Lonchura striata: one gene and its partners. The protein of the gene in region 2 purifies or fractionates together with the protein of the main gene of each other region. This does not show direct contact. Links are inferred from orthologs where the notes say so. Each region holds a gene or a part of one and is shown on either strand. Other genes may lie near its edges. The genes, in order: ZFC3H1, EXOSC5, DIS3L and HBS1L.

What was found.
Region 1: the proteins of EXOSC5 (region 2) and ZFC3H1 purify together in Homo sapiens (affinity purification with mass spectrometry; 3 studies listed by BioGRID and IntAct, with this or other methods). This does not show direct contact. The link is inferred for Lonchura striata from reciprocal best matches to the Homo sapiens genes EXOSC5 and ZFC3H1.
Region 3: the proteins of EXOSC5 (region 2) and DIS3L purify together in Homo sapiens (affinity purification with mass spectrometry; 5 studies listed by BioGRID and IntAct, with this or other methods). This does not show direct contact. The link is inferred for Lonchura striata from reciprocal best matches to the Homo sapiens genes EXOSC5 and DIS3L.
Region 4: the proteins of EXOSC5 (region 2) and HBS1L purify together in Homo sapiens (affinity purification with mass spectrometry; 3 studies listed by BioGRID and IntAct, with this or other methods). This does not show direct contact. The link is inferred for Lonchura striata from reciprocal best matches to the Homo sapiens genes EXOSC5 and HBS1L.

Annotation. Positions count from the first base shown.
Region 1 is NC_134607.1:45,484,135-45,491,302, reverse strand, and holds the start of ZFC3H1 (zinc finger C3H1 domain-containing protein), read left to right. Parts: upstream 1-4,159; 5' UTR 4,160-4,226; coding exon 4,227-4,809; intron 4,810-7,168. UniProt on the Homo sapiens protein: Subunit of the trimeric poly(A) tail exosome targeting (PAXT) complex, a complex that directs a subset of long and polyadenylated poly(A) RNAs for exosomal degradation. The RNA exosome is fundamental for the degradation of RNA in eukaryotic nuclei.
Region 2 is NC_134642.1:86,203,197-86,210,351, forward strand, and holds the start of EXOSC5 (exosome complex component RRP46), read left to right. Parts: upstream 1-4,153; 5' UTR 4,154-4,195; coding exon 4,196-4,310; intron 4,311-5,390; coding exon 5,391-5,504; intron 5,505-6,561; coding exon 6,562-6,683; intron 6,684-6,761; coding exon 6,762-6,902; intron 6,903-6,966; coding exon 6,967-7,056; intron 7,057-7,136; coding exon 7,137-7,155. Other genes in the region: cell cycle checkpoint protein RAD17, read left to right, coding at 198-255, 1,539-1,722. UniProt on the Homo sapiens protein: Non-catalytic component of the RNA exosome complex which has 3'->5' exoribonuclease activity and participates in a multitude of cellular RNA processing and degradation events.
Region 3 is NC_134613.1:22,671,906-22,679,493, forward strand, and holds the start of DIS3L (DIS3-like exonuclease 1), read left to right. Parts: upstream 1-4,575; 5' UTR 4,576-4,611; coding exon 4,612-4,756; intron 4,757-7,520; coding exon 7,521-7,588. UniProt on the Homo sapiens protein: Catalytic component of the RNA exosome complex which has 3'->5' exoribonuclease activity and participates in a multitude of cellular RNA processing and degradation events.
Region 4 is NC_134605.1:58,287,888-58,295,305, forward strand, and holds the start of HBS1L (HBS1-like protein), read left to right. Parts: upstream 1-4,399; 5' UTR 4,400-4,547; coding exon 4,548-4,590; intron 4,591-7,193; coding exon 7,194-7,259; intron 7,260-7,418. UniProt on the Homo sapiens protein: GTPase component of the Pelota-HBS1L complex, a complex that recognizes stalled ribosomes and triggers the No-Go Decay (NGD) pathway.

The DNA of each region.
Region 1 (7,168 bases), on a different chromosome or scaffold from region 2:
TCTTCAAATTGTTGCTAACTTCTAGGACTCCTTGCTCAAAGACTTGTGTAGGGTCTCAAGTACTAATGCAGGATCCTCAGTTGATAACCTCTGAGGATACAGGAAATGGTGCTGAGGTTCCTGAGAGGAAATTTCCATTCTTTTTAGCAACATCTAACAGGAGGGAGTTAACTGCTACTTGAATGTGTTTCATCTGAAGTTATCTGTAGTGATTGCTTTATGATCCTAAAAATAAAGTCTCTTGCAAAAGAAAAAAGCTTCTTGCATGCAAGACTTCTGTCTTTTGGGAAGACAGAACTCTTAGAATCAGCTCTTCCATCAGACTATTAATACCAGAGGTGAAAACCTGAAATCACATTTTGACATCTTCCAGATTTTAAAAAAGGTATTGAATAATTGAAGTAATAAAAGCGAGATTTTTCTCATCACCAAGTGCAATCTGAGAAAATAACAATGTGACTCATTTGTATTTTACCATTAATTTACCATAACTACCAAAATAAAAATTACAGACTACTTTTTTACTTAAATAGCTTTTATAAATAATCTTCTCTAAAATATCTCACTTTAGTCTCTTATCTCATATATATATATATATATATATATATATATATCATACTATTACCTCTTCCAAGGGAAGATTCCTTTAGGTATTTAATATAATTTGCTCAGTTAGATCTCTTGGTGAAATATTAATTAATTTTAAGCATCTAATGAGGTATTTAATTCTGTCATTATGCAGCTCTGCCTGCTATTTGAATGTGATTCTTTGTTCTTTTTTCAATCATATGTCCTCCTCTACTCTTTACTTCTTTCATATGTATTTTGAAGGCATTGTGTTCAAGACACTGTGTTCAGGCTATGTTCAGTAAAAACTTACTTATACTTAGTGCTTATTTTGAAGTTGGATAGAAGCTGCTTTCTTCTTAGGAAGATTTCACAAAGCTTTCTGTAAAAAAAAAAAAAATCCAGAAGAAACAAGTTAAGAAACAGAACAAATTTATGTGAAATTGTGCAAGTGTCAAATTGTGGATTAACTGGACATTGTGTCAGCTAACACAGGCAGAACACAGGAAAACCCACAAAACTGCAGAAGAAATGCAAATAATATATTTATCTTTGTTACCTTACCAACTAGGGAATCAACTCTGAACCTATGATAGTAATTGACACTTGCAAAGCAAGAAGAGGAAAAAATAATTTTAGCCTAAGCCAAATTTTATAGTACCAAAATATACTGCATGTCTTTTATATTCTGAAATCTGGCCAAGTTCTTGTAACTCAGACTATGCTTCTGTAAAAAAAATTCACTTTACTTTTTGTAATTGAATTTAATTTACATTATAAACATGTTACTAATTTCCTGCCTCAAACTTTGAAAGAAGTCAAATTCTGTGCTCCTGTATTAAAATACAGGAGGCTGATGAGAGCATTTACGGGAGTGTGCCAGCCAGAAAGACCCACTGTCCTTACTGGCTGATCAATAAAGGCCATTTCTTGTTTGGTATCACCATAAGGAAAAACACGAGTGTAGTATTTTACTACAGTATGGTCTTCTGTATTTTAAATTATTCTATTTGTCCTTTACTGAAAATATATTCAGTATTTAATACAATTTTTTTTTCCAGCAGCAATATAATCTATTTCACAGGCATGAAGTCAAATGCAGCTAAAATAAAATTTCTTTTTTTTTTCTCTTAAGTTCACACATTGCAATGAAACCTCACAAAAAATTCTTTATCTATTACTTGTGTTTTAAGCAAGGAAGTTTCTTCATGTTTTCTATTTGAATGGCAGCTCCCTTGCAGTTTTCAAATGTTTATGGCCTTTGTTCAAATGTGTAGGTAGCAAAACCAGCAGAAAAACACATTCTTTTTACACATGCCCTTTTATTCCCTTTACAGAAAAGAATTTAACACTATTAATTTCCCTATTTATTAACAGTGGTGAATCTGCTTCTTTATGAAAATTTAAAATTACTCATGTAATAACCCTAGATGACAGCAAAAAGCTAGGAATATCAGATGACTGAAATGAAAGAAGGGACATATGATGCCATAGGATATACAAAACCACTGGAAGATTCTCAGGGTATTCTTTTACAGATGGTTAAGTTTTCTGAAGATTCTCAGGGTATTCTTTTACAGATGGTTAAGTCTTCTCTTAGATAGAAATTTATAATACAGATCATATAACATTTTTTTAATAAATTCAGCACACTTGTTGGATGAACAGTAAGCAAACATACAATAAAAATCAATAGAGTGGGAATACCCCTGTCAGGGTAATTTCCCATGAAAGAGTTGACATTTTGCAAATACTTTACAGTTCTATAAACGTTTTTCTTTCCCGCCTAAAAGATACAATTTCCTACTGGTGCATGAAAACACTTAAAAAAGAGGTAACTGTACAAAGGCTACTGGAATCTGATATATGCAAAGCTTTGGGATGCCTAAGTAAGGACATATGCTGGGAGGGAAATTTCTGCAGCTTACATGTGGTGATACTGAAACTTCTTTGTAGCTACAGTGGATTAGATTTCAGACTTGGGCATAGGCACCTAGCAATGTTTAAAAAACCTGCTTGACCTCCAGCTGCTACTTGACAAAGTTTTCAGTATGTTCTATGTCATATTTTCATGTTTTTAGTACTGTGGGATATGTAAAATAATGTAAGCCTGATTCCTAGAGATAGCAACAATTTGAATAGAAGTACTGACACAAATAGCACACTAATGTAGAATGATGTATATTTGTGGTGGGGAGGGGGAGTGAAAAAGCAAACCTTTAACTTGCTCCCCTGTAAACGTCTTTAAAGAATGCACACTGTTTTAAACAGATTAAAAAAAGGACTGTACCCTGTTTTGTATGAAGTCACTGCAGTGGTATCTATTTTAATATCTATTTTTATATTTTCTATATAGTTGTCCCATTGGATCAAAAAAAGAGGTTGAAAAGTGTTTTGAGCAAAGAAAAGTAAGCTTGTTTGGCACAACATTTTTGACTTTAAAAAGCATATGCATTATCCACTCATTATTCTTGTTGGATTTAAAGAAGTCTAGAGAGGAAAGTAAACAGTAACATGATACTGAGTTTTATTTTGGTGCTTGTGATTTCATAGCACATTACTCACTAAAAAATACCCTACAAAACATCTTAATAATTCACTCTCGGGAAAAGCATGAAGATGTAGCCATCTTTTCCCAGGCTTGAAAACCCCGGCAAATCTGCAAAGGTATTTATCATGTATAATTCAAAGGAATCTCTCAGGTTTCTCAAAGTCAGGGTTTGTGAGTTCTACAGGAGACACTAATCTGACTTAGAAAGGCTTTATTTTTTTTTTTTTTTCCCCCACAAGGAAGGCATTACTGCTCTCCAGTCAGCAGTTTTGGTAGGATGTTGCATTCCTTAACAACCAACTAGGTAGCAACAGAATGCTACTTAAGAGATATGAAAATAAAATAGATGATTGAAAGTGTTTATGCAGTTGTTTTACACTCTCTGATGCTCACTTGTCACTTGTATCACTGAAGGCATTAGGGCATTGAACGTCTAGGCAATCACAGCTCTGGAAAGCTCTGCAGAAACCTTCTTAAAAATTTTAACATTAATTTAGCTACTAGGAAGGTTCTGGGGGTATGCCTGAACACCCACTGCTTTCCCTTCTTTAGCAGCCTGTGCACTGTTTGGGGAGAGAAGCAGGGCACAGGCCGCACCAACAGAGAAATGGCATCCAGCACTCCCAATGAGCACCCAGGAGGCCCAAGCCCCCGCAGCCTGGACGGCGCTAAAGGGAGCTACCACTGATCATCCCGCGGCGGATGGCAGGGCAGGACAGGGCAGGGCAGGGCAGGGCAGGGCAGCGCAGCGCAGCCCGCCGCCATGCCACCGGTTCGTCCCCACACAGCGCCGTGCCCCGCGACAAGATGGCGCCTCCTCCCTCGCCTCGCTACCAACATGGCGGGCCGCGCGCCCATTGGCGCCCGCCGCCGCGCGCGATAGGCTGAGGTGCCGGCTTCCCCCGGCCGTGCCTCGCGCGGCCTCGTCCCGAGCGGGGAACTACATTACCCAGGATACCCTGCAATAGGGGCGTTGCCCCGAGCCGTTTCTTTTCTTACGCACGCGACTCTGTCTCCTCCCAGCGGGAGGGGCGGGGCGTGGTCTCGCGAGAGTCCGCGCGGCCGGCGGCGGGGGCGCAGGGCGCGTTGAGACCGTTGTCGTGCGCCCATGGCGGCCGCGGAGGCGGCGGCCGCGCCCGACCCCAGCGGGCTGTCCCCGAAGGAGGAAGGGGAGCTGGAGGATGGAGAGATCAGCGACGACGACAACAACGCCTTCGGGCCCTATGGCGGCGGCTCCGAGCCCACCGGGGGCCTCGGTAACGGCAGCAGCAGCAGTAGCAGGCCGTACTCGAGGCGCCGTCCGCCCCCCGGGCTCCACGGGAGCGGCTCCATGTCCTCCCCCGGGCGGCCCTTCCCGCGCTCGAGGCACCAGCCCCCGCCCGACTCGGGACACGTGCACGGCCACGGCGGGTACCGGCCTAAGGACTCGTTCCGCTCCCACCCGCCGGCGCCGCGGATGCCGCCGGGCTCGCACTCCGACACGGGCCCCAGGCTCTCCTTCTGGGAGCGCAGCCACAACGCCCTGGATCGGTTCCGCTTCCGAGGCCGGCCCTACCGGGGCGGTGGGCGCTGGGGCCGGAGCCGAGGCTGCAGCGATCGGCCAGGCAACCCTCCGGGGAGGCCGCCCGGAGGGGGAGGCGGCGCCGGGTTCAGTAGCAGCCAAGGCTGGAGGGAGCCCTCGCCTCGAAAATGTATCCTTGAGACGTGAGCGGGGCGGGGGGCCCGTGCTGCTGCGGTGGGCCTGGGCGTGGCCGTGCCGCGCGACGTGGCCGAAAGCCGTGGGAAGGAACGCGTTTCCCTCCCGCTCCGGCAGTGAGATTCCCGCAGCGGTAACGGAGAGGGAGGCTCCCAAGCTAATCCTGGAGGTTGGCCGGGACAGCCGGCCCTGCTTAAGGAGAGGCTGCTGGGAAGTTGGATTACTGCCGTGGCGTGGCTTGCGGCTCGGCCGATCTGTCCGGTGTAGGGAAAAAGGAAAAGCATAGCCTGAAAGGAAGGTTTTGTCGGTTGGATTCCGGGCGGCTGCTTTTCTAGCCCCAAGTGCGAATATTAAGAAGTGGGGTCAGCCTTCGGTGCGGCAGTTTTAATATGTGTAATTAGTGTCACAACTGTAAAGCTAAAACCCTAAGCCTGTTAATTTACTGTAATGGGCAATGAAGGGTCTGCTGTTTTTTTTCATTTTCACTTTGATTTCTTCAGAGGCTATTGCACATAGGTTTAGCTTTAGTCAGTTGCTGAGTGGGTCTGCATACACAATTTGTAGTTTATATGGGCATTCAGATGAAAGCCATACCCACCATTTCTTGTAGGATGTTCTCCACTGATTGCTCTTAACAGTTTAGGTGACTCACTCAGTATGAGGATTCTGCTATTTCATCCTTTTAGGAGCAGGAATTGTGAAAGTGGTGGGAAAAGCTTCCCTAACTTTTCTTGTTTGCTATAGGAAGTAACATAAAGAGCTAATAATGCTGAGTGTAGCTTGAGGCAGCCTGGTGACTTGATGTAACTGCATTGTTATCTAACTGAAAATGTAGATGAATGTAAAAAACACTCAGCAAAAGAGATGGTGATTAAATCGTGTTCTATTGTCCTTCATATCAATAGTCAAAGGATGTGTTTTTGCTAGAACCAACAGTGTGGGTTGATTTCTTGGGTCTCTTGGATCTTGTTTTATAGACAAGATTATTTTTTATGTCATTAATTTTTTTTTTTTTTTAATGTAGATGGAGAATGTAAATTAGCAATAGAGACGCTCTTATTTAGTCTCAAGTTACAGCATCATTGAAGGCTTCATTGCCGCCCTTCATTGAAGGGCGCATTTTGTCTTGGGAGGCAGCAAGTGGAGATGTGATTTGCCCAAGTTTTCACAGTAAGACAATTCTACTGCTGAAAATAATTTTAAAGTCTTTTTGCAGTGTTGCTCTAAGTACCTGAAAGTGGTTACTTTCTGTGTGAGGAATAATTTGCAGGGCAAATGTGGAGATTGTCCTAAACAGAAATTAAAATGTTTCTTTATGAGACTGATGCAGTCTCCTCCTCTCTTTTAATTAAAAGAGCATTCAGAAACAAATAATACCATTTTCAAACCAAAAGTAGAAAATGTTTAAGGTGTTTTTATTCCTGGCACTTAAGATTTATGCATCCGTTGAAACATGGCAGATGGAGGATGTTCCTACTCTTGCTCTTTAATAAGTGAACATTCTCTTGTTTATTGATCGTATAGGTAAGGAAGGTCCATGATTTTCTCTCAATATGAGTTACTTCCTGATTTTTTAAACATCCTCGCCACCTAATACAGTCTATATTAGAGAATTAATAAATACTAAGGTACCTCCATGTTGCTAACATTAATGGAGTACTGGTGTAATTCATTGGTATGTGACTTCAGAGCAGACTTTCATATCAATTAGTACAAGGAGGCTTGTGGCCTGGAATGGTATCTTGAGTTCCCCCTGGAAAATAAAATGTTTTAAGTGTCTTGAGTCCTGATTTTGGCTTCTTCTTAGTAGCTAGTACAGTGCTGTTTTTCGGATGTAATGTGAAAATGTTAACACACTGGTATTTTAGTTGTTGCTGAGAAGTGCCTCCACTAAGTCATAGACTTCCAGCATCCCATGCTTTGCCAGTGAGGAGGTGCACAAGAAGCTGGTAGTGTGCAAAACTGAGACCCAAACCTGGCCCAAGTGGTGTTGCATACCACAGAATATCATGCCTGGTGTATAAACTGTGAGGAGTTGGCGGAGAGCCACTGATGGCTGCTTGGAGCTGGGCTGGGTAGTGAGCAATTGTATTGTGTATCACTCTTCTTCTTTGGGCATTATTCCACTTTCACTTTTTGTTATCTCCCTTTTAATTATTATTACTATTTTACTTGATTTCCATTATTAAACTGTTATTTTTTCAGCCCATGTTCCCTCAGCCCCCATTACCTTTTTCCAAGTTCTTTCTTCATCCCACCATGGAAGGGAGGGAGGAATGAAAGTGTGGGATAATAAGTTGCTGACTGGGATAAACTATGATAATCTGGTAAGACAGAGATTGTTTACTTGATTT
Region 2 (7,155 bases):
GTAAATATGTTGTGGTAAACTAACAGTTTGGGGGGAAAAGTTACACACACGGTGTTTTGGTATCTAAAACATTTCAAATATTTACAGGAATACTCAGCTAAGGTAATTGTTTATTTTCTAGTATTGTTTATTTTCTAGTTCAGCTGTCTGTTCATTATGATCTACCTAATACGATACTGGTGGCTCTTTGTTCTCAGCTCAGATTGCTTTTATCCAAGACGTGGGGAGGCTGCCACTGAAAAGACATTTTGGGAGGTAAGTTGAACTTCTGCCTGTAGTTAAAAAGTGAGACTGTGTCATCTGTGAAGGGGGAGAACCCTGTGATGGCATGAGTCTGTGATGTAACAAAGACAAGGTATTTTTAAAGGTCTGTTTAATCTGGACTTAGCTGCACTGGTGTAATCTTGTGGAAGTTTTGCCCGTAAGGCTACTCAGAGTAAACCTTGTGCAGAATGCACCGTTTCTCATCAGGCTAGAGCTGCTGACTGCTGAAAACCCAGGTGTTTCCCTGTGGGCTGCAGTGGCTCCTCACGGGCTGCGTGTGCAGCCTCAGGGTGACCTGGCACGAGCAGCTCTGCTGTGGCTCCTTGGAGCCCTCTGGGTCAGAGACTTCGCTGACCCCAGCAGAGCCCCAGTTACACTGCTAGGGCTGTGATCCTCTGGAATTTAAAGTGTTTTAATTGCTGTGTTTCTAGCAAAGAATCAAGTTCACAGCTGCAGTGAGACAAATTGTCATCTCCTAGCTAGGGCATAGTTTACTGAGGCATCTGGCAGAGCACCTCCTACTTGGCCCTGGTGTTGCTGCTGACTTTGTGAATTTCCAAGGTGTATTTCCAAGAACCACCCTGTTTCCCAGCTGTTGTATTAAAAGCCATTTTGGTTGTTAGGGAGATAGACAAGTGTCCCTAAGGGGTGCATTTCTTTGTAATCCCCCTGGTCTGTGCCACAAGGTGTGAAATTCCTCACATTAATCATAACTTCCTTGTGCCTTTTAAGTTTCCCTGCAGCATACCTGTGGTTAGTCACATTTTGTATCTGCATCAATAAGTTGGCTGGGTGTCACAGTGTCTGATGCTGCTGAAAGCACTGCCATCGTTCTCCATCTGTTCAGTGTGCAGGAACCGTAGTGTCACCCTGATTTTTAAGATTTTCTAAAGCCTTCTGAGTTTACATTCTGTTAGAAAACTTTTCCACATATTTTCTATAAACAATATATCGTTTTGCATTTCTTCGTGGTGGTGGAAGAAGTTAATATACTAGTAGTTTGTCCAATGTCTTTAAAGAAGTAGCCTATTCACTCTCCAACCCACTGTCACCTTTAGAACAATATAAAAGTTAAAGTCAAAAAAATACACCTTCTTCTTTACCTTGCAAATAGCAAGTAGCTCGCACCATACTTTCACATATCCCATAACGACACCGTAGTGCAGAGAAATGTGGGTGTTTGCTGCCCGGGGGTGCTGCTGGGGCACCGGGTGTGTTCCTGCAGTGCTCCGGGAGGCTGTGCCGTGCTCAGCGTGCCGCCCTGCTGCCTGCAGGCTGCAGCTGGAGGCTCTGGACGACCGCGACCCCGGGCTGCCCGAGCTCCACGCCGACCCCGAGGGGCTCCCCTGCAGCCAGTCCAGCGGGAGCGACCTGCCCGGCAGCCAGCCGCAGCCCGTGGCGGCGCAGGCGCTCCTGGAGGAGGAGGAATTGCGGATCGAGGAGTACGACAGCGACTGAGCGAGCCCTGTGCCCGGGGAGCTCTGCAGCCGGGCACCGAGAGCCCCGCGCCCCACAGCGCCAGCCCCGCTCCGCCTTCCCGCCTCTCCCGAGCCGCGGCAGCGAGAGAAATAGAGGCTGAAATCCGTCTGAAGGACGCTAGGGACGGTCAGCGGTGTCGCTCTGAAATTATCTGTGTTTTTACGCGTTTTAATATACGTTGCGATTGTGCAGCGCGTTTCCCGAGTACACATTCCGTGAGCTGCCAGCATTTGGAGGGTTCGTTCAAATTCACATTTCCAAAAAAATGCCCTTCTGGAAAGAAGAGGCTGAAATTTATACCTGAAACGTCACCGTACTGGTGATGTAAAGAAAACCTCTACTGTATTCATACTGTTTTGTACTCTGTCTTACAGAAGACATAAATAAGATCTTTGTGTCTTTGTAAGGGGAACAAATGTTGTACCATGGATTATTTTGTATTCCTCTTGGAAAAAAATTTTCATAACTTTTAGAGGAGGAAAAAACAGCAATTAAGCAGAAGTTGTACTTTGTAGGAAGATAAATGTGCAGTTTTTCTCCTTGACTTGCAGTTGTGCTGGGGGAAACAATGATCCTGTGTTTGGCAACTGACACATGATCGGGTGCTGTGGTTAGTGATACCAGCAGAGAGGAAAAACAGCTTTGTGTGATGCTCGTTGGCATTTCTGTATTGCTTACAGCCAGTTTGGTGAGAGAAAACACGTGTTTATCTGCCCTCACCTTGGATTAATGCAATTAAAGAGTCTGTACCCATCCTCTCTCAAGGGACAAGTGTTGTCTTTTCATCTGCAGCTACTGCTTAATTTTGAAGGGAGAAATTTCACTCCTAAGTCTAAAATTCTGTTACAGCTATACTCATTACAGCAAATCAGACTGTCTTTGTCTGTTCATGACCAGTAACCCTTTTTTTCCTCATCAGGGTTAGGATGGGCTGTTCCTGGAGTGCCTCCAGCACAAGTAACAACCAGGACTAAAATACTGATTTTTATCTTGAAGCACACCCCCACCCTCTTTTATTGTATTTTTTCAGCTTTCTTTACAGTAGCACCAGGTACCTGCAGCTGCTGTGCTGGCCTTTTCCTTGTTAGGGCAGAATGTTGTTTTGATTTTTTAAAAGTGTTAAGTTTTTTATAGTTCTTTTGAAAGTTTTTAAAGTTTTCATAAAACTTCTTTAGCCTTCTGATAATGTTTACATATTTCTGTTGGAGTTTTTTCACACATGTTCATGTAAATAACGATTGCTTTGCATTCTTCTTTGTGGGAGGAGAGAATTGATGGACTGTTGGTTTGACCAGTGTGGTTGGAGAGGTGGCAGTTTCATCCTCCAATCCACTGTCACTTTTGGAATTACATTATTTATGTTACATTGCAAGGTCAGAAATAAAACTGTCTGTTTTTCTCTCTTGAACTCACCAAACTTCTGTGTACACCTTTTGTGTCCAATAACAACATCTGGAAACTTTCAAAAGAACTGTAAAAGAAAAGTTAACACTTTTAAAAATCAGAGTAGCAACAGAATTCAGCGCTCAGCTGGAGCTGTGAGCTGCAGCATGCAGGGGAAGGTCAGGTTGGACATCAGGAAAAAATTCTCCACTGAAAGAGGGGCTGGGCACTGGGATGGGCTGCCCAGGGAGGTGTGGAGTTACCGTCCCTTCAGGAGTTTAATAAAAGCCTGGGTGTGATGAGGCGGTGTCAGGGCATAGCTGGGACTTGATGATCTCAGAGGTCTTTTCCAGCCTGGCTCATGCTGTGATTTAGGAGCTTCCTGGGTGCGATCAGAGGGCTGAAGCTGCTGTGGGTTCCTCTGGGGAGCCCCATGGCTCCCGCTGCAGCCACCCAGCCTGTGTCCATGTGGGGCTGTGGCCGGGCTGGGCTCGGGGTGCCCCTCCCCGGGGACCCCGGCCAGGGGCAGGGACCAGACACGGACAGGGATGCGGGTGCTGACAGCAGCACGGACACAGCAGTTAAACACAAGAGGCAGGACTTTCCTTCTTCCCCTGGTGTCGTTGTGAAAAACGCCAATTACTTGGTTTTTAAAAGTTTTAAACGTTTAATAATAATAAAAATAGTAATGCAATTAGAGTAATACAATTCAGAGTTAGGGAAATTGCAAGACAATAAAACGCAAAGAATTACGGACGTCTGGATGCTCTCAGACACTCAGTCATGAAAAGCATCCCTTGTGAACAAAGGAATAACCTTAAAAACAACAGTCTGTTGCATATTCATCTATCTCATACGCGATGCATGATAGAGTCCCCCTGTCCCATCTGCCCCAACGCCTGGCGCTGATTGGCTATCGCGCTGCCCGGCGCTCATTGGCTATCGCGCTGCCCGGCGCTCATTGGCTATCGCGATGCCCAGCGCTCATTGGATGTCGCGACGCCCGTCTGTGATTGGCCGCCGCTTGGCCCGGAAGCGGAAGCGGCGGCGGAGCGGGGATCCGGCGGCGATGGCGGCGGAGGTGGTGGAGGCGGAGGCGGTGGACGGGCCGTGCCGGCTGCGGCGCTTCTCCTGCGAGCTGGGGCTGCTCTCGCGGCCCGACGGCTCGGCCGCCTTCCTGCAGGGTCTGTGGGGCTGCGCTGCCCGGGGCTGCCCGTCCCGTCCCATCCATCCCACCCCCATCCCATCCCATCCCCATCCCATCCCATCCCATCCCATCCCATCCCATCCCATCCCATCCCATCCCATCCCATCCCATCCCATCCCATCCCATCCCATTCCCATCCCATTCCCATCCCATCCCCATCCCACCCCCATCCCACCCCATCAATCCCATCCCACGCCATCCTGCTGACCCCAGCCGCAATCCCATCCCATGCCATCCCATCCCATCCCGCTCATCCCAGCCCCATTCCCATCCCATCCCACCCCATCCCACCCCATCCCACCCCATCCCATCCCCACCCCATCCCATCCCACCCCATCCCATCCCCACCCCATCCCATCCCTACCCCATCCCATCCACACCCCATCCCACCCCACCCCACCCCACCCCATCCCATCCCATCCCATCCCATCCCATCCCATCCCATCCCATCCCATCCCATCCCATCCCATCCCATCCCATCCCATCCCATCCCCACCCCACCCCATCCCATCCCATCCCATCCCATCCCATCCCATCCCATCCCATCCCATCCCATCCCATCCCATCCCATCCCATCCCATCCCATCCCATCCCATCCCATCCCATTCCCATCCCATCCCAATCAATCCCATCCCACACCATCCTGATGACCCCAGCCCCATTCCCATCCCATTCCCATCCCACCCCATCCCATTCCCATCCCACCCCATCCCATCCCCATCCCATCCCCATCCCACCCCATCCATCCCATCCCCACCCCATTCCCATCCCCATCCCCATCCATCCATCCCCTCCCATCCTGCAGACTCTGCGGGGCTCACTCGCCGGCTCTGCCCTTCGTTCGTTCCTGTGGTTCATTTTCCCAGCCTTCCCCCCGAGTCTCTCCTTCCTAGTCATTCCCGGCTCAGCTTCCCGGGACTCCTCGCTCCTCCCCAGCCCTTCCCGCAGGCTCTGTGGTGCTGTGGTCGCAGGGCTCCCCTTCTCCCCTGGCCGGCTCCCCTCCTGCCCTTCCCGGTGCCCTCCCGTCCTCACCGAGCGCGCTGCCCTGTGTGCCCAGGGGACACCTCGGTGCTGGCCGGGCTGTACGGCCCCGCGGAGGCCAAGATCAGCAAGGAGCTGCCAGACCGGGCGGCGCTGGACGTGCTGCTGCGCCCCAAGGTGGGGCTGCCAGGTGGGACTGCCTCCCGCCTGCCCCGGAGCAGGCTCTTCCCCCAGAGTCGCCGTGTTGGGTTTATTTACAGCACTGTAAATCAGTTTTGCTGGGTGGCAAATCCACAAACCCCTGTGTTATTGCCACATTTTAGCAAGCAAAGGCACTGCTGCTCGTTTGCTCCCCAGCTGTGTGGTTAATTAATGCTCTCCCTGCTGCTGGGTGACGAGTCCCGGCTGCTGTCACTAATTAGTGCCGCGCTGGCTCTGGCTCTGCTCTGCCTCTGGGCCTGACCCCACTGCCAGCCCTGTTCCCGCTCTGAAAAACACCAATCACTCGGTTTTTAAAAATTTTAAAAGTTTAATAATAATAAAATGGTTATAAAAATAGTAATACAATTACAGTAATAAAATTCAGAGTTAGGACAATTGGAAGACAATAAAAAGCAAAGAATTACGGATGTCTGGATGCTCTCGGACACTAAGTTATGAAAAGTATACTTTGTGGACAAAGGAGTAACCTTAAAAACAACAGCCTGTTGCATATTCATATATCCTTCTTGGTTATGCATACATTCTATTTAAAACAAGAACTCTTTCTGTTGTATGTCAGCTGTTTCCTTTAATCCCCATGGCATCTTCCAGTCTGAGCAAGACCTGAAGAAATTAGCTTCTTTTGATAAGCAAACAGTTAAAAAACCCCTTTACCTAGCAGTTTCTATTTTAATACTATGCTGGAACCTGAAACTATATTTAACACAGTACCTAAGAGCATTAATACAGCATAACTTTCTACCATGACACATACAATATCCACTGTAACGTTTGTAAAACCAATCATAAAAGGTGCATTTTTCACACGGCCGGAGCCCGCTCAGCACGGCCAGCACCGTCCGCAGGAGTTCCTCCTTCCCCAGGCTCGTCCCTGCAGCCCTGCCGTGTCCTGCAGGAGCTCCCCGTGCAGGGCTCTGCACTCCCCGGGCACCCACCAGCCCGCTGGGCTCTGGGCCTGGGTTTTCTTTCTGAGGCTCCCGGGGCAGGGGCTGTGGCTGAGCTGACACCCTCTGCCCTCGGCGCAGGTGTGCTGGAGCGCAGCCGGGAGCAGCTGCTGCAGCAGACGTGCGAGGCCGTGGTGCTGGGCGTGCTGCACCCGCGCACCGCCATCTCCCTGGTGCTGCAGGTGCTCAGCGACGCCGGCTCGGTATCCTTTGCTGTGTGGGAGGCGCCGGGGGGCCGGGGGAGCGGGGCTCTTGGTGCTGTGGCTCCTTGACACGCACAGCTGCTCTCCTGCTGCCTGAATGCCGCCTGCATGGCGCTGCTGGATGCGGGCCTGCCCCTCTCTGCTCTCTTCTGCGGCGTCACCTGCGCTCTGCAGCCCGACGGCGCCATCCTGCTGGACCCCACAGCCCGGCAGGAGCAGGTGAGCCCGGGGGGAGCCCTGCTCCAGGGTGCCCACCCAGCCCCGCTGACCCCTGTCCCCGCAGGAGGCACGCGCCATCCTCACCTTCGCCATCGCCAGCACCGACAGGAAGGTGCTGATGGTCACCACCAAGGGCAGCTGCTCCGTGCAGGAGGTGAGGGACTCCCCGCGCGGGTTTTGGGGTGCAGGATCCCTCACAGGGGGCCCCTCACTCCCGGCCCTTCGCCCCTGCAGATGCAGCAGTGCCTGGCCG
Region 3 (7,588 bases), on a different chromosome or scaffold from region 2:
ATTGTGCAGCACTGACCCCAGACTTGAGCGAGATGTACCAGAGGGAGCACTCCCAATTTGGAAGTGGGTGGAAAATCTGACCTGTTGGGTCTTTCCATCTCTGACCACCATTATCCTCTGAACCCTGCAGGAGCTGCTCTGCAGGCTGAGACAACCCTGAGCATCATCTCAGTGCAAGGGCTCCCACCAAATCAAATGCATTTTGATAAAAAATGATTGATATGGTGGCCTTCTCCTTTGATCCAAAGTGTTTTCATAATTTCTAGCACAACAAATATAAGCATATTTTATGAAAGCAGAAAATCTGGACTACACCGAGTTATTAATCAGCTGCAAACAACCTAAAGCTCCCTGATCAGACAAAGTGTAGCATTCTAAATATCTCAGCATAAAGGCTTTTTTCTCTTTAAATAATATTGAGGCTCTCTCATCAGTAAATCCAGTGGGAAACCCTGGGATAAACTAAGCCAAGGTACAGAAAATAAGTGAAACACTATAGTACACAGCGTTGCATTCCTGTGCTGTAAACTTTTGAACTGCATCCATGGAAGAAAAGGATGGGGGAAAGAAGATCAAATGCATGCCATAGTAAATATCAGGTATTGTGATAAATTGCTTTTATGCTTCCAATAATTGTAAACATCGTGTAGTTTCATATTCCTGACATGCTTGAAGAGATCTGCAAGCCTTTTTTTTTATTATTATTTTATTATAGAGAAGCATCGCTTTCTAGTTTATTTTGTGGAGAAAATTGTCTTTTTATGCTATAAACAACTCCAAGCAGTTTGTCCACGGAAGCTGAAAGGTGGAATTTTAGCCCATTAGACACGGGCAGGGAAGCGAAAGTTCCTATTTCAACCCAAACTCGATTACAGAGCGTCCCCCAGCGGGGGTGTCCGGTACTGCAAACGCAAAACACTAAGCGGGTTTGGACGGACGGAAATCCACGGAGAATATTGGGAAGCCCAAAAATGCACGAATAAAAAATCGTTTTCGCTAAAATTAGAAGAACATTAGCATTCTAATTGTAACGCTGTATAAATTATTTTAAAGGATAAATGAGATAATCATCAGTCAAAGTGCAATCCTAAGCAAAATAACAGAGTCTAATTAACATGAGATCTGACAAAAATAATTAAAGGAGGGGGACATAATTAATGCCAGTGGACATGGGATTACATAAAACAGACATTGTTAAGATCATCTAATGTCTTTCTTTTTTATGAGTTCAAGGAATGGCACATTAATCTCGAGACCTTTCTAGATGTGGGTGCAATTTTTACAATACTTGGCTTTTACTGAGCCAGCGATCCAGAAGGAATCTCCAAGAGAAGGAAGCATTTATCCAGTTTAGGTTGAGTTAGAAGGAGATGATGAATTGCTAATTGTTCCCCAATTGCTTTAAGAATGGGAGAACCAACTTCAAAAATATGCTATAAGATAATCAAATCTTGCATCCTCTACTTCAGTCACAGAGTACTTGGATGAAAAAAAAATATAAAAAGCCCTTTTTCAAATGGAAAGATACAATTTCTATTGATTCCATGACTATGTGGATTCCAGATTTATCTTCTGCCTCTTGTTTGTGGCATTTGTCAGGTGAGTCAGGCTTCGGAAGCTTGAGCCAATTGCTGGTATTCTCCAGTGACCTCAAATTTCTTGGCCCAAACACTTCTGTGAAAAGGTAACACTCTGAAATCTGTCCTGCATCTTCTGACAGGCTTCTCCAGGCAGGGAGAGCTCCCAAGAGGTTCCCACTTCCCATCCCAAGCAAGCACAACTGTAAAGACTTCCATTGCCCATGTGAAAATAAAAGCTTCTCTAGCACTCACTGTTGTTATACGCAGGGGCATTGCACAAAGTGAGGAATATATTCTACCATGATTTATTCCTTTACAAAGTACTTCATGAAGTTAAGCTGTATGAAGCAATAGATGTCCCATAGTTCTGCAAGCAGAGTGCACATCATCTTTATTCTTCAAGATTTGTTAAGATGTTCTAATATGGATACACCAACATTTTTGCAGCTTTTATTTTAAAACAATTAAATATATACATGTTATCTTGCTAGTTTTGGCTGTCCCTGCACAAATGTCTTGCCTTGTGTAAAGACAATAACAGATCAGCATGAAATAGCAGAGTGTGAAAGTTCACCTCTGATCTCACAGGGACAAATTCAGCTGTCAGATAAAGTGCCAAGAGCTCTCTTTGGCTCTAGTGACTCCAGCTTTGTCTTTTGCAGTCATTTGAGGTTTCTTCCAAGAGAGGAAAGAAGTGGGGAAACACTAGAATGAAAAAACTGCTCAGACTAGGATGTTATAAATACAAGTGCAGCTACTCAACAGTATCCCTAGGGTGTGAACTTGGCCCAAAGGTCTTCCATTTTCCTCTGTGAAACAGTGCACAAATGAGAGCAGTCATCTCAGCTACTTCTATTTAATTAACCTTCATTTTATTACAGTCATTGAATGTCACTGAGTAAGCACACTGGTCTGTGTTCCTCACTGTGTCAGCAATCAGCATCTGCTACATTTCAAACTCAACTAAATGTCTTTTTTTCCCAAATGTTGTGTTTTTATTACCCTTTCTATCAGCATGGGTTACTTCATCTTTGCTCCTGCTGAACAAGATCTCCATCATTTTGCTCTCCATTTCCCTTTTCCTCTCACATCCTGCTTACATAATACATTTGAAGTCATCTTGACTCCCAAACCCAAGTCTACACTTTGGTCGTCTCTCACTAAGTTATAACACCTCCTCCTCCTCAGATGTTTGAGAACTTGGCTTCTGCAAATCAGCTACTTACAGATGGTGCTTCCATTTACTGGCACAAATTGGTTACTTAGAAGTATTAGTCATTGGAGATACACATTTTATAAAACATGTGAAAAATAAGAAGTAGAATAAACAGGAACATACAGTGACATACTGCCTTGGCTCTTTCCCAGTGTTTTTTCCCCTCCTAAGAACAAACACTACACAGCTCTCACCATGTATTTATGTTCAAGTGAAGTTATAGTGTAGGCACTTATTATTTGAGAAAGTATGAATGCTTTTCTAACAGTCAACACAATCATCCCCAAAATGGATGGCAGCATCACAGACACCAGAGACACTGCTTTGGACTCCTGACCTTCCACTGCTTTTCTGGTTCATCTTGGACCAGACTTCACCTGTCAGTGCCTTTATCTTCCCCTCTAAATGTGAAGGACAATATTGGTGATTACTGTAAAATAAGTTGTCATTAGGGCTTGCCTGCTCTCGTCATGCACCTTTTCCCTGATCCTCATTTCCTGGAGTGCTCTGACATGTGGTCACACAAAATCAGGGGTGAGGAACAGACCTGGGATTTCTCCTGGAAGATGACGAGAAAGAACATGGAGGTTCATACAACTGCATCCCTCACTTGAAGGGAATCCGCCCTCTGTGCCCGCTCAGCCACACAAGCCTGGGCTCCCTCAGGGCTTGCACTGATCGGGCTCCCCCTCAGCCCGCTCCTGCCCGCTCCTCAGGGCCGCCCTGGTTCCCTCAGCTCCGGTTCCAGTCCCCTCAGCTCGCTCCTCCAGGTCCCTCGGCCGCCTCGGCTCCCTCAGCTCGCTCCCTCTGTCCCTCAGCTCCAGTTCTAGCTCCCTCAGTTCGCTCCCACCCCGTCCTCAGACCGCCCCGGTCCCCTCAGCTCGTTCCCGCCCGGTTCCTCAGACTGTCCCGGTCCCCTCAGCTCGATCCTGCCCGGTTCCTCAGACTGTCCCGGTCCCCTCACTTCAATCCTGCCTGGTTTCCTCAGACCGCCCCTTGTCCCCTCAGCTCGATCCTGCCCGGTTCCTCAGACCGCCCCTTGTCCCCTCAGCTCGATCCTGCCCGGTTCCTCAGACCGCCCCTTGTCCCCTCAGCTCGTTCCCGCCCGGTTCCTCAGACTGTCCCGGTCCCCTCAGCTCGATCCTGCCCGGTCCCCTCAGCTCGATCCCGCCCGGTTCCTCAGACCGTCCCGGTTCTCTCAGCTCGTTCCTGCCCGGTTCCTCAGACCGCCCCGGTCCCCTCAGCTCGATCCCGCCCGGTTCCTCAGACTGTCCCGGTCTCCTCAGCTCGATCCCGCCCGACTCCTCAGACCGCCCTTTGTCCCCTCAGCTCGTTCCCGCCCGGTTCCTCAGACTGTCCCGGTCCCCTCACTTCAATCCTGCCTGGTTCCCTCAGACCGCCCCTTGTCCCCTCAGCTCGATCCTGCCCGGTTTCCTCAGACCGCCCCGGCTCCCTCAGCCCGATCCCGCCCGGTTCCTCAGACTGTCCCGGTCCCCTCAGCTCGATCCCGCCCGGTTCCTCAGACTGTCCCGGTTCCCTCAGCTCGATCCCGCCCGGTTCCTCAGCCCGCCCCGGTCCCCTCAGCCCGATCCCGCCCGGTTCCCCCAGCTCGATCCCGCCCGGTTCCTCAGCCCGCCCCGGTCCCCTCAGCCCGCCCCACCCGCGTTCTTCCCGCCCCTCGGTTGGAGCCGATCCCCGCGCTGTGACCCCGCGCCCCGCCCCGCGCAGGCGCCCCGGCAGTCGCGGCCTCGGGGCCGCCGGTCCCCGCCGTTCGCGGCCGGTCGCCGCCGTTCGCGGCCGGTCCCCGCCGCCCCGATGCTCCGCACGGAGAAGGTGCTGCAGCTGCGGGGGCAGCACGGCCGCGCCGTGCGGGTGGTGCGGGAGCACTACCTGCGGCCCGACGTGCCGTGCCGCAGCGCCCTGTGCCGCAGCGCCCAGTGCCGCGCCGCCCGCGCCCGCGGTGAGGCTCCGCCGTGAGGGGACTGGGGGGAGCCGGGACAGAGCCGGGACAGAGCCGGGACAGAGCCGGGATCGCCCGTGGGGCGGCGGGCGGCGTCCCCCGGGGCCGCGGGTGACGGGGGACAGAGCTGCGGGCAAAGTGATCCCTGGGCTGGGATGATCCCTGAGCTGGGGGGGGATCCTTGAGCTGGGGGAACCCCTGAGGACAGAGAATGATCCCTGAGCTGGGAGCATCCCTGAGGATAGAGAATGATCCCTGAGCTGAGGGAACCCCTGAGGACAGAGAATGATCCCTGAGCTGGGAGCATCCCTGAGGACAGAGAATGATCCCTGAGCTGGGAGCATCCCTGAGCTGGGAGCATCCCTGAGGATAGAGAATGATCCCTGAGCTGAGGGAACCCCTGAGGACAGCATGATCCCTGAGCTGGGAGCATCCCTGAGGATAGAGAATGATCCCTGAGCTGGGAGCATCCCTGAGGACAGAGAATGATCCCTGAGCTGGGGGAACCCCTGGGGACAGGGAATGATCCCTGAGCTGGATCCCTGAGGACAGAGAATGATCCTTGGGCAAGGGTTATCCCTGGTGGGGAAGGGGTGATCCCCGTTCTGGGGTGTCCGGATGGTGCTGAACAAATCACGGCTGTAGCAATAGTTTTCCTTTACAGCAAGACCCTTGAGAAACCAACGAGGCGTTAAGAGCGGAAGGAATCGTGGAGTTGATTGTTAGAGAGTTTAACTGTGAACAGTTTACTGGCAGTGATAAAAGGCTAAAGGATTGTTCAATTTTTACACTTCTCTTGTTTTAAAAGATCCTTTAAAATGAATTAATTTCTGCAGGGTGGTGGTTTATAGCATGAGTTAAATTCTATACATACCTGTTAAGTATTACAATGGGGCCAAGCCATTATCTTGAAGCCATTGTAATTCTTCATCAGTAGCTATTTCTGTTCAGTAATTAAATGTAATTGCCTGTGTTATATCAGGGCATTTCAGACACGGGAAGGTTGCCAGGCTCTGATGTCTGCATTTGTTGTTGTTCTTACGTACTGTGGTGCTGTTATGTGCATCGTAGATCATCACCAGAGCTGTGGTTGATATTTCAGTTGGGTTTGTTGTTGTGGTTGTTCAATAGCACAATTTATTTGATGCAGGAAACTGACTGGTAAATAACAAACATAATATCCAACTTGTTGAAATCGACTTGTTGAAATGACTTGCCTGAAAGAAAAGGTTGAGAATTGTGACAGTTTTTTTTTCTTTGGAACTATGATTGGGATAGATGTTTTCACTTTTGATTTAGGTTGCAATCGAGGGCAGAAGGTGTATTACTTAGATCATTATAGTGTATTACTGCTATCTAGGAGATCAGGACTACTTACTGCTCCCTAAAATACATCATTTGGTTGTGAATTCCTCAAGGATAAATTAAAGGCACACATCAGAAAAAACTCTAACCTTTCCTGCTGTGCCTAACTCCCCCTCTTTTGTACTTAAATGTAAATTGTGCTATAGGTGACGGTCAGAATATATCCCTGTGTGATTATTCAAGGTAACCCAGATGTGAGTGAGATATTTGTTTTCCTTCCAGACTCTACACAGTGTGCTGAGCAAATCTATTTCATGCCCTGTGAGAGACTACCTGCGAAAATCACATCAGCAGGTGCTTGTAAGGGTGAGCTCTGCCTGCCTGGGAGTCATTCTGCTCTGAATGGATGGGTTAGGCAAGGATAGCTTTGGATGGGCACAGCTCATAAATCTCCCAGTGACATTTCACTTCTAATGCTCTTCTGGATTATTAATAAATATTAGCTTTCTTGTACGCCTGCTGCCATCATCCATTATAAGCTTTCAGTGTGAGATGAGGCCAGGTTACTGCATGCACAGTTGTGCTGGCTGGATTCACACTTCTTGTGGTCACAGCTCAAAGATTGCCCCCTGTCAGCTTCTAAGAAATACATTCAAATAACCTATATACTTTATTCTGTATAATTTGCCTGCACTGTGGGGAGTTTGGTGTTTATAATAAATAATAAATAGATATTACGAAAAAATACAGTGGAAATCCCCTCCCATCTGAAAGCTTTTGGGTAATCTTTGAAATACCAAAAGCAATTAAACTCTTGAATTGTGAGGTACTTTTTAAGATGTCATCTGTGATGTGTTGTGTCTGATATTTTCATGGCATATTCCTTAGGGATAGAGTCTCTGTAAAGAAAATTAACACTGATGGTTAATAGTTTAGGTTTAAAAACATCTTTTCTTTGCAGTAGCAGTGGTTTTCTCTACGTGCACTCTTACCTGTGCTCTTTTATGTAAAGAGCCTGCTGTAAATGGTGTGTTTGAACAGAGAGAGCTGTGGGAGCAGAGTAAAGGAACTGCTCATAATTCTACAGCCTTTAGAAATTCCATGAAAAGATTTTCTGTGCCAGATGTATAGTCCCTTTTTCATATGGAAACAGAGAAGAAAGAACTGTAACCTTTTCTCTTAAGCTATAGCCTTTTCATAATGCAAGTGGATATTTTTCACTTCTTTGGATAGAATTTGCACAAAAGTTTGGCATCAGTTGATGCAGAAGGGTTTTTGTCACAAATTTATGGACTGTACCACAGAAGTTAACCATAAAATCCATAATTTTGTTCATCAGAAAAAGAAATGTACCCATTTGAGGAGGCACAACTCTAATTTTCTTACATCAGGAAATATTTTCAAGAAACCATTACTGCAACTGAAAGTTTGAACCTTGAAACTCTGAATTATCTTCTAGATGGCAAATTGTTATCAGATGATGTCACACACTACGTTGTCCCCGACTGCAAGGTTGTTCAGGACTAC
Region 4 (7,418 bases), on a different chromosome or scaffold from region 2:
CCAGAGACTGAACTTCCTTTTCTGGGCCAATATTTGGGTCACTGCAGATGAGAAGTATTCTGAGTGCCAGCAGGGAGGCAGCAGGGTGACAGAGGAATTTGGGATTGAAATCCAAGTGTTACAGAAAGTGTAGATTTACCTAAAGCCACTGAAATATTTTATTCATTTTTGCAACAGAAAGTTTACATACTTGTAAGGAACAAAAATGTGGTCAACTTGGCAGTGTTAGGTTTATGGTTGGATTGAATAATCTTAAAGGTCTTTTCTAGTTTTAATAATTTATGTTAAACTATACAAAGAACTCACTTTTCTAGACTGAATTGCCATTACATTACTGTTTGCCATTAGCTGCCATCTAACTTAGCTGTTAATGGATCCTGTTGAAATTGTGTAAGGTCTTGACTTAACATCAATCACTCATATGTGAAACTTGTTGTTCTGCATTGATCCATTCCCAAAGAAATAATAAATATATTTAACAAGCTCATTCATACTATGGAAAATTTGAGACACTTGCTATTTACCATATGTACAAAATGATAATTTATTAATACTCTTTGTTTTCTAACTTTTAAATCAGCTTTTGACTACATGGCATCATTTTAGACAAAAATAGACATGTATTTACATGTCATTTGAACTAGTCAGATCATTTAGCAGCTGGAAATGTGTTTACTGACCTTGATAATATTATATTTTAGAACTTAACAGCCACACCTGGTAGTGTGGTAAAATATCTGGAATTATGCTGTTTTTTTCCTAGCCTTCCTTCACTTTGGGTTAAAACAACAACACAATATTGAAATAGGCTGAATGCTTTGTAACTAAGACTATTCAATCACTAAAAAGCTTGGCGGTATCACTTGAAGAAGAAATAACATTATATGAAAGACTTTCCACTTAGCTAAAACGAAATTATTAAGTATTTTATTAACTGATTCTTACACTTATAAAAAAATTCATAGTGCTGAGGCTGGGAGTGCCCAACAGATTGCTGAAAAAAAGAGGATTATCAGAAATGCTGTCACCTGGATCGAGATCGGTGATCTTAGTTCACTTCTTAAGGCACACACCTTAAAGTAATATATAATTTCAGTGGGCAGGAAGCAAATGGATGCCACAAGTGACCTGGTTAGTCATTCCTTAGAGCTGCTGGAGCCAGACTGACAAGATTCTCTGATGGTGCTTTAATTGCTGCTGAAGGAATAATGTTTAGCTATAGAAGACTGCTTTGCTATCAGATGAATACTTTTCATGAACTTCGCATTCATACACAAGTAGCACTAACTGAAGTATAGCTAGCTAGGGCTTGAGGACTAAAGCTTATTATTTCTTGAACATCTTCCCCTAAAACATTTACATATGTCTCAGAATTAAGAAAAGGCAAGGAATAATCACAGTGTATTTGTGACTCTTTGAAGATACTAGTATAATATGAAATAATTATGCTCCTGTAAGAAATTGTTCTCTTTGGGTTCTTTTTTCCTTATATCTTATATAACTTATTACACTTTAAATGAAGAAAAATAACAACATTTTAAGTTCACTGTTAATACCATGGAAAGACTACATATTATATAATCTCATCCATTTGTCTTACCGTTATATTTACCTTTATATTTTACAACTGTTATTTTCCTGTTTTGAACTAATTTTGAAATCTTGAAATCAATCCTACATTTGATTATCAAGCAAATAAAATGAGCATCCTATCTGAGGAGGTCACAGTCACTGAAAATCAAGAGAAGTAATGAAAAAAAATTCAAGCATGAAAACTTTATTATTTGATAAGCAGCTGGTGATTTATGTAAAAAGCATCAATAAGAAGGATAAAAGAAATATCTTTGCAACACAATGGTCAGACGTGAGAAACAAGAATTGTCACTACCTGAAAGAAAAAAAAAAAAACCTAAATGTACATAATTAATATTTACTGGAGTTTTTAACATTTGAAGAATGGGGTTGAAGTAATTTCAGAGGCTGGAAAGTGTCTTTTCCAAAGTAAAGCCATTGGAGGCAGACTGGTATATATAGTTGTAATGATGAAGTGGCTCAAGTTACTTCACTGAAGGCCCAGAAAGCAGATGCTGGAATCAGGTTTTGAATTTAGAAGTGTGCTACCCTGGCTGTAGTAATAATGGATGATAGCAAGTCTCCACTTTTGTATCTTTGACTCATGTCAAGAGATTGGGACAGGTAAGGATTAGCTCAACTACTGTCAAACCTGTGCTGCAGAGAACATTTGGGACACTAAAGGTCAACAGGACACAAGTATTGACCAGAAACCTTTGCTTCCAATTCTGTTTTAATCCTAGCACTGTATGAAAGTCATTATATAGAGCCTAAGCCTGTTTAGCTGCATGTGCTTCTCTGTAGAAATTAGTTAGAAATATGCAAATAATATAAGGAAACAATCTGCAACTTTGCATACTATTTGTATATGAACACAAACTTTAGGCTTATAGTTAATACTGGCAGTATTAACCTCTGGCAGTGGCCAGGAAGGATGTGGAGTGGTAGATAGTGACAGTTTTGGCATGTGGCCAAGGACAAGACAATAGTCAGGTGACAGGTACAGAAGCAGGGCATGTGTATTCGTAGGGATGTGTGGCTGTGTGCTGGGGTATCAGAGGACAACCTGGAGCGTGCAGCTGGCTGGAGGGGGACTTGATTTCTGGTATTCTCAAGACTGGATGAAAAGATGGTAAATAAATTATTGAAGGTCTTAAAGAAAAAGACACCTGACTTCAAAAATATTAATGGTGTCATCTGCCTAGCAGCTCCCGAGCCCACAGATGAACACAGGTATCTGCAGGGGAACAACTGCGCTGGCAGATATGTAGACAGATTTTGCCACAGCTGGAGCTCATGAACTGGGATCTCTATCCCAACTCTCTCACCAGACCTTAATGTCTTGTCTGCTTGTCCTCAGTTGTCTGCCCCAGCAAGAGGAGCAGCTGTAGGACATGCCTCGGCTATGCAAACACTTGGCAGTGCAATTGCTCCTGCAGGCTGAAACTTGGCATTAGAAAGTAATGGCACAGTAATGTGCCAATATAGTCAGATCAAGGCTCCACGTAGCCTAATGCTTTGACATTTTGCTTAATGCTGCCAACAGCAATGCTAATTATTACAGCTTGCATTTACCTACAGCAGCTCATTCAAGCCTGGCCACTCATCAGTCCCTGGATTGTAATGGCTACTTGTCATCAAAAAGCCAGGTCAGCTGGAGCTGTTTCAGATCCAGAAGTGAGAAAGGCCTTGTACTTAATTTCAAGCCCTGTTCCTGTGGTGGTACACACATCACAAACACTTACCTCAAGTGTGTTTAAATAAGCCTACCCTTAGTGAATTCAGGCCTATACAGAATACTCCCTTTTCATCAATGATGCAACTGCTTTTGAATAAACTTCAAACCACTTGCTTACATGTGCGCATGTAAAACTTGCCACTTTTGGCTTGAATCAAACTCATCATTAACAGAAAATGGGCATCTCACATCTAGACTGTCCCTGTAACTCACAATACCACACAGACAGCTACTACAGACAGGCTCCATGCTACCAGACCCTGCAGAATCGCAGCAACGTTTATTCAGGCTGGAAGACGCCTCCAAGGTCACGGACACCAAGCTCCGGCCGGTCCCCCCGCGACAGGCACCCCTCAGCCGCAGGTGCTTTCCCAGTCCCGCCGCCCGGCAGCCCCGCACTCCCGCAGTCCCACAGCCCCGCACACTCCCGCAGCCCCATAGCCCCGCACTCCCGCGGTCCCACAGCCCCGCACTCCCGCTGTCCCACAGCCCCGCACACTCCCGCAGCCCCATAGCCCCGCACTCCCGCGGTCCCACAGCCCCGCACTCCCGCTGTCCCACAGCCCCGCACACTCCCGCAGCCCCATAGCCCCGCACTCCCGCGGTCCCACAGCCCCGCACACTCCCGCAGCCCCATAGCCCCGCACTCCCGCGGTCCCACAGCCCCGCTGTCCCACAGCCCCGCACACTCCCGCAGCCCCATAGCTCCGCACTCCCGCGGTCCCACAGTCCCGCAGTCCCACAGCCCGGCAGTCCCACACTCCCACACTCCCGCAGCCCCGCAGTCCCACAGCCCCGCACACTCCCGCAGTCCCACAGTCCCGCACTCCCACACTCCCGCAGTCCCACAGCCCCGCACTCCCACACTCCCGCAGTCCCACAGCCCCGCACACTCCCGCAGTCCCGCAGCCGGGCAGTCCCGCACTCCGGCTGTCCCGCCGCCGGGGCCGCGCTCCCCTCCCCGCTCCGCCCCCCCCGCCCGCCGCGCGGGCGGGGCGCGAGCGCCTCCGGGCGCCGCCCCCGGCCCCGCGCGACCCGCCGGCCCGAGCCAGGCGGGACGGGCCGTGCGCATGCCCAGCAGCACACGAGGGCGGAAGCGGCGCCCTGCGCGCCTGCGCAGGAGGGGGCGCCTCCAGGCGCCGCCGTACTTCAACATGGCGACCTAGGCCGGCCGCGCCAGCGTCACCGCGGGCGGGCGAGCGAGGCCGTCGCCGCCGCTGCTGCCGCTGTCGCCGTCATGTCCCGGCACAGGAACGTCCGAGGATATAACTACGACGAAGGTAGCGGTTATGGCGAGCAGGCGGTGGTGGCGGAGCTGCGGACCCGTCGGTCCCTCGGCGCTCCGCCCGGCCCCTGCTACCGGCCGGGCCACCCGTGCCGTGGCCGCGGGCAGGAGGGTGTGGCGGGCCTCGCACGGCGGTAGGGGAGGGTCCGGGGGGCTGTCAGGGGCGGTGGGAGGGGAAAAGCCGCGCCCTCACCTCCCCTCGGCGGGGGTTGGTCGGGGCTCCGGGCGAGGCCTCGCCCCGCCCCGTTCCCGGCCCGTTTCCCGCCCGAGTGGGGAGGGTCGGGCACACGTGGCTGCTCTCCTGCTGCTGCCGGGGGCTCCCGGGAGCTTCCACACGGGGCGAGCGTGGCCTTGGTACGTGGTCCAAGCCACGGCTGCCTTGCCTTGAGCTGCCCAAATTTACTCTGCTTTTCAGTAGCGGCACTGACTTGAAAAAAGCCTCAGTATGGTTGAATCCATCCATCTTTAGTCTTGAAAAACTTAAAAATTTGTATTCAGGGCCAAAGTCTAGCCAAGTGTTGCTGATGTTAATAGAAATGGGTTAACAGCTGTTACTTGAGGAAGAAATGTAATTCTTAAAGATGGAGTTGTGCATTTAGGGAACAACCTCTTTTTCAGGCACCTGTCTCATTTTACTTGTGCTTCTTGCATGGAATGAAGAGTTCTTCCATAAGAATATGGCTTGTATCTGCAGTACGGCAGCTTTCTTTGTGCCTTGGCCCCATTAACTTACCCAAACTGTAAATCAGAGTATTTTTTTTTCCCTGAAAGTCTTTATTTTTGTTGGTTTGGGCTGTGGAGAAATGGACACACTTTGGCTCATACTGATATTTTAAAGAGCCCTTTGCTGAGGGAGCAGTAATTTTGTTGCTTCACTTTGTCATATTATTACAAAAATGCAAGGAAAGCTTCAGCTTGCCTCTGGTCTTCTGTTGAGTAAACAGACTACATGGTTTTTATGTATTATAGTAGTACAAATTGGGTTTTTCACTCTGGTATTGGAATTTCTTGGAAGTTGTAAATTCATGTGAGCTGTGCTGACTGTGTTCCCACCTTGCAGTTTCTGCTAGTGTAAATTTTCCTAATATAGGCAAAGCCCTGAATTAGATTGGGAATTCTACTGCTTGATTTTTCATCCTCTAGAGACCATTTTTCATCACAGATTGGTTGAAACGTTGATTTCAGCCGAGTCTCTGGCTTTTGAAAAGTTGAGTGTGCAATCCATAGAGTCTTGATGCACTCATCAGACTCTCTTGTAATGAGTTTGCTCATTACTGTGTAATGAGATACACAGTAATCTTAATAGCTACGCAGTAGCTAATAAGGCACATTTTGCTATTGGAAATGTGACTGTGAGGTTATGTGTCAGGTCTTTACCCTTGTACCGTATGTTTCTTCTGTAGTCACACAGAATCATTTATGACCCAAATGAATGAGACTTTGTGTCTTCTTACCTGTTAAATGCAATATGCTTTTTTTATACTGCATCTGATTCTGTAATGCCCAAATACAAATCCCATTTCTAAGCTGAATATTTACAGTTTTTTTTTTAGTTTCCTTTCATAGGAAGACTTCTGAGGCCTTAGATCTTCTGGGCTTTATTTGACTATGTTCTATGTTTTTCCCCTCTCCTTTCTGAGATACTGTGATCATAACCAAATGTGATATTCCATCTGCAAGTATCTTGGCAGTGCAGCTGGAATACTTCAGTAGCTTCTACTCTGTTCTCTGTAATTTATGTAATTTTTAAATACTAATTTTTATGGTCAGTGCATACTGGGGTCTGTCTTTTACAATAACAAATAGAGGTTACTTGTGAAACTGCCAAGTGTAGTAGTGTCTTTAATAATAGTTTGTTACTTTTTTCATGTATTTCATTATTACTTAGTGAAAATTACACAATTTTTTAAAGATTGGCATAATACTAGGATTCCTTTTTTGAGAGGAAGGCGCATAACTTATTATTTTTATTTCTGCGTGCCTTTTTTTTTTTTTTTGTGAGGAAAGAATATTTTTAGCTTTAAGTAACTGTATAAGATACCTGCTTTTTACCTGAAACAATTTTGCATATTCAGAGGGAATTGTGAATTTTTTTTTTGCTTGCTGAACTTAATTTGAAAGGTGGATAGATGTGAGCATAAAATAGAGAAGAAAGGTGAGAAATGTATAGGAATGGAGTAGAAATGCTGATCCTTAGCTGTTGGACTAGAAATTGTAATTGACCTGCCTGTCTGGGGTGAAGGCTGAGAGGTCAAGCAAAAATATCAAGAGAAGTGCCATGGGTAAAGATTTGTGGAATGTAGAAAGATTTAGTCGGTGAGGGCAAAGGAGATGCTGAAGGAGGAGGTGTGAAGTGTGGCAGCTCTTGAAAATTTTCAGCCTAATGAATAGAGTATTAAATGTTAAATTATATTATTTTAAGAAAATTCTGTTATTGGAGCTTGGAAGGTTATTTCTCACATAGGAAATACACAGAACCTAACTGTACTTCTGGAATACAGGAAATGTATTATTTCATAAAACCTTGTGCAGAACGTATTTGAATTATAATATTATTTAGAAATTGTGTAGATTAATCTTGCTATTTTTGCTTCATAGACTTTGAAGATGATGATGTGTATGGCCAATCAGTAGAAGATGATTATTGCATTTCTCCTTCAACAGGTTAGTTCAAATAATTATCAAGTATTATTCATTGATGCCTGTTTTGATATTTATTTCTAAATAAAATAAATTTTAAAAGCTAGTGACACTTTTGAAAAGTGCCTAGTGGCCATAATTCTGTTACAGTCAGTTATGTAGTGTTAGACATTGGACTTTTGA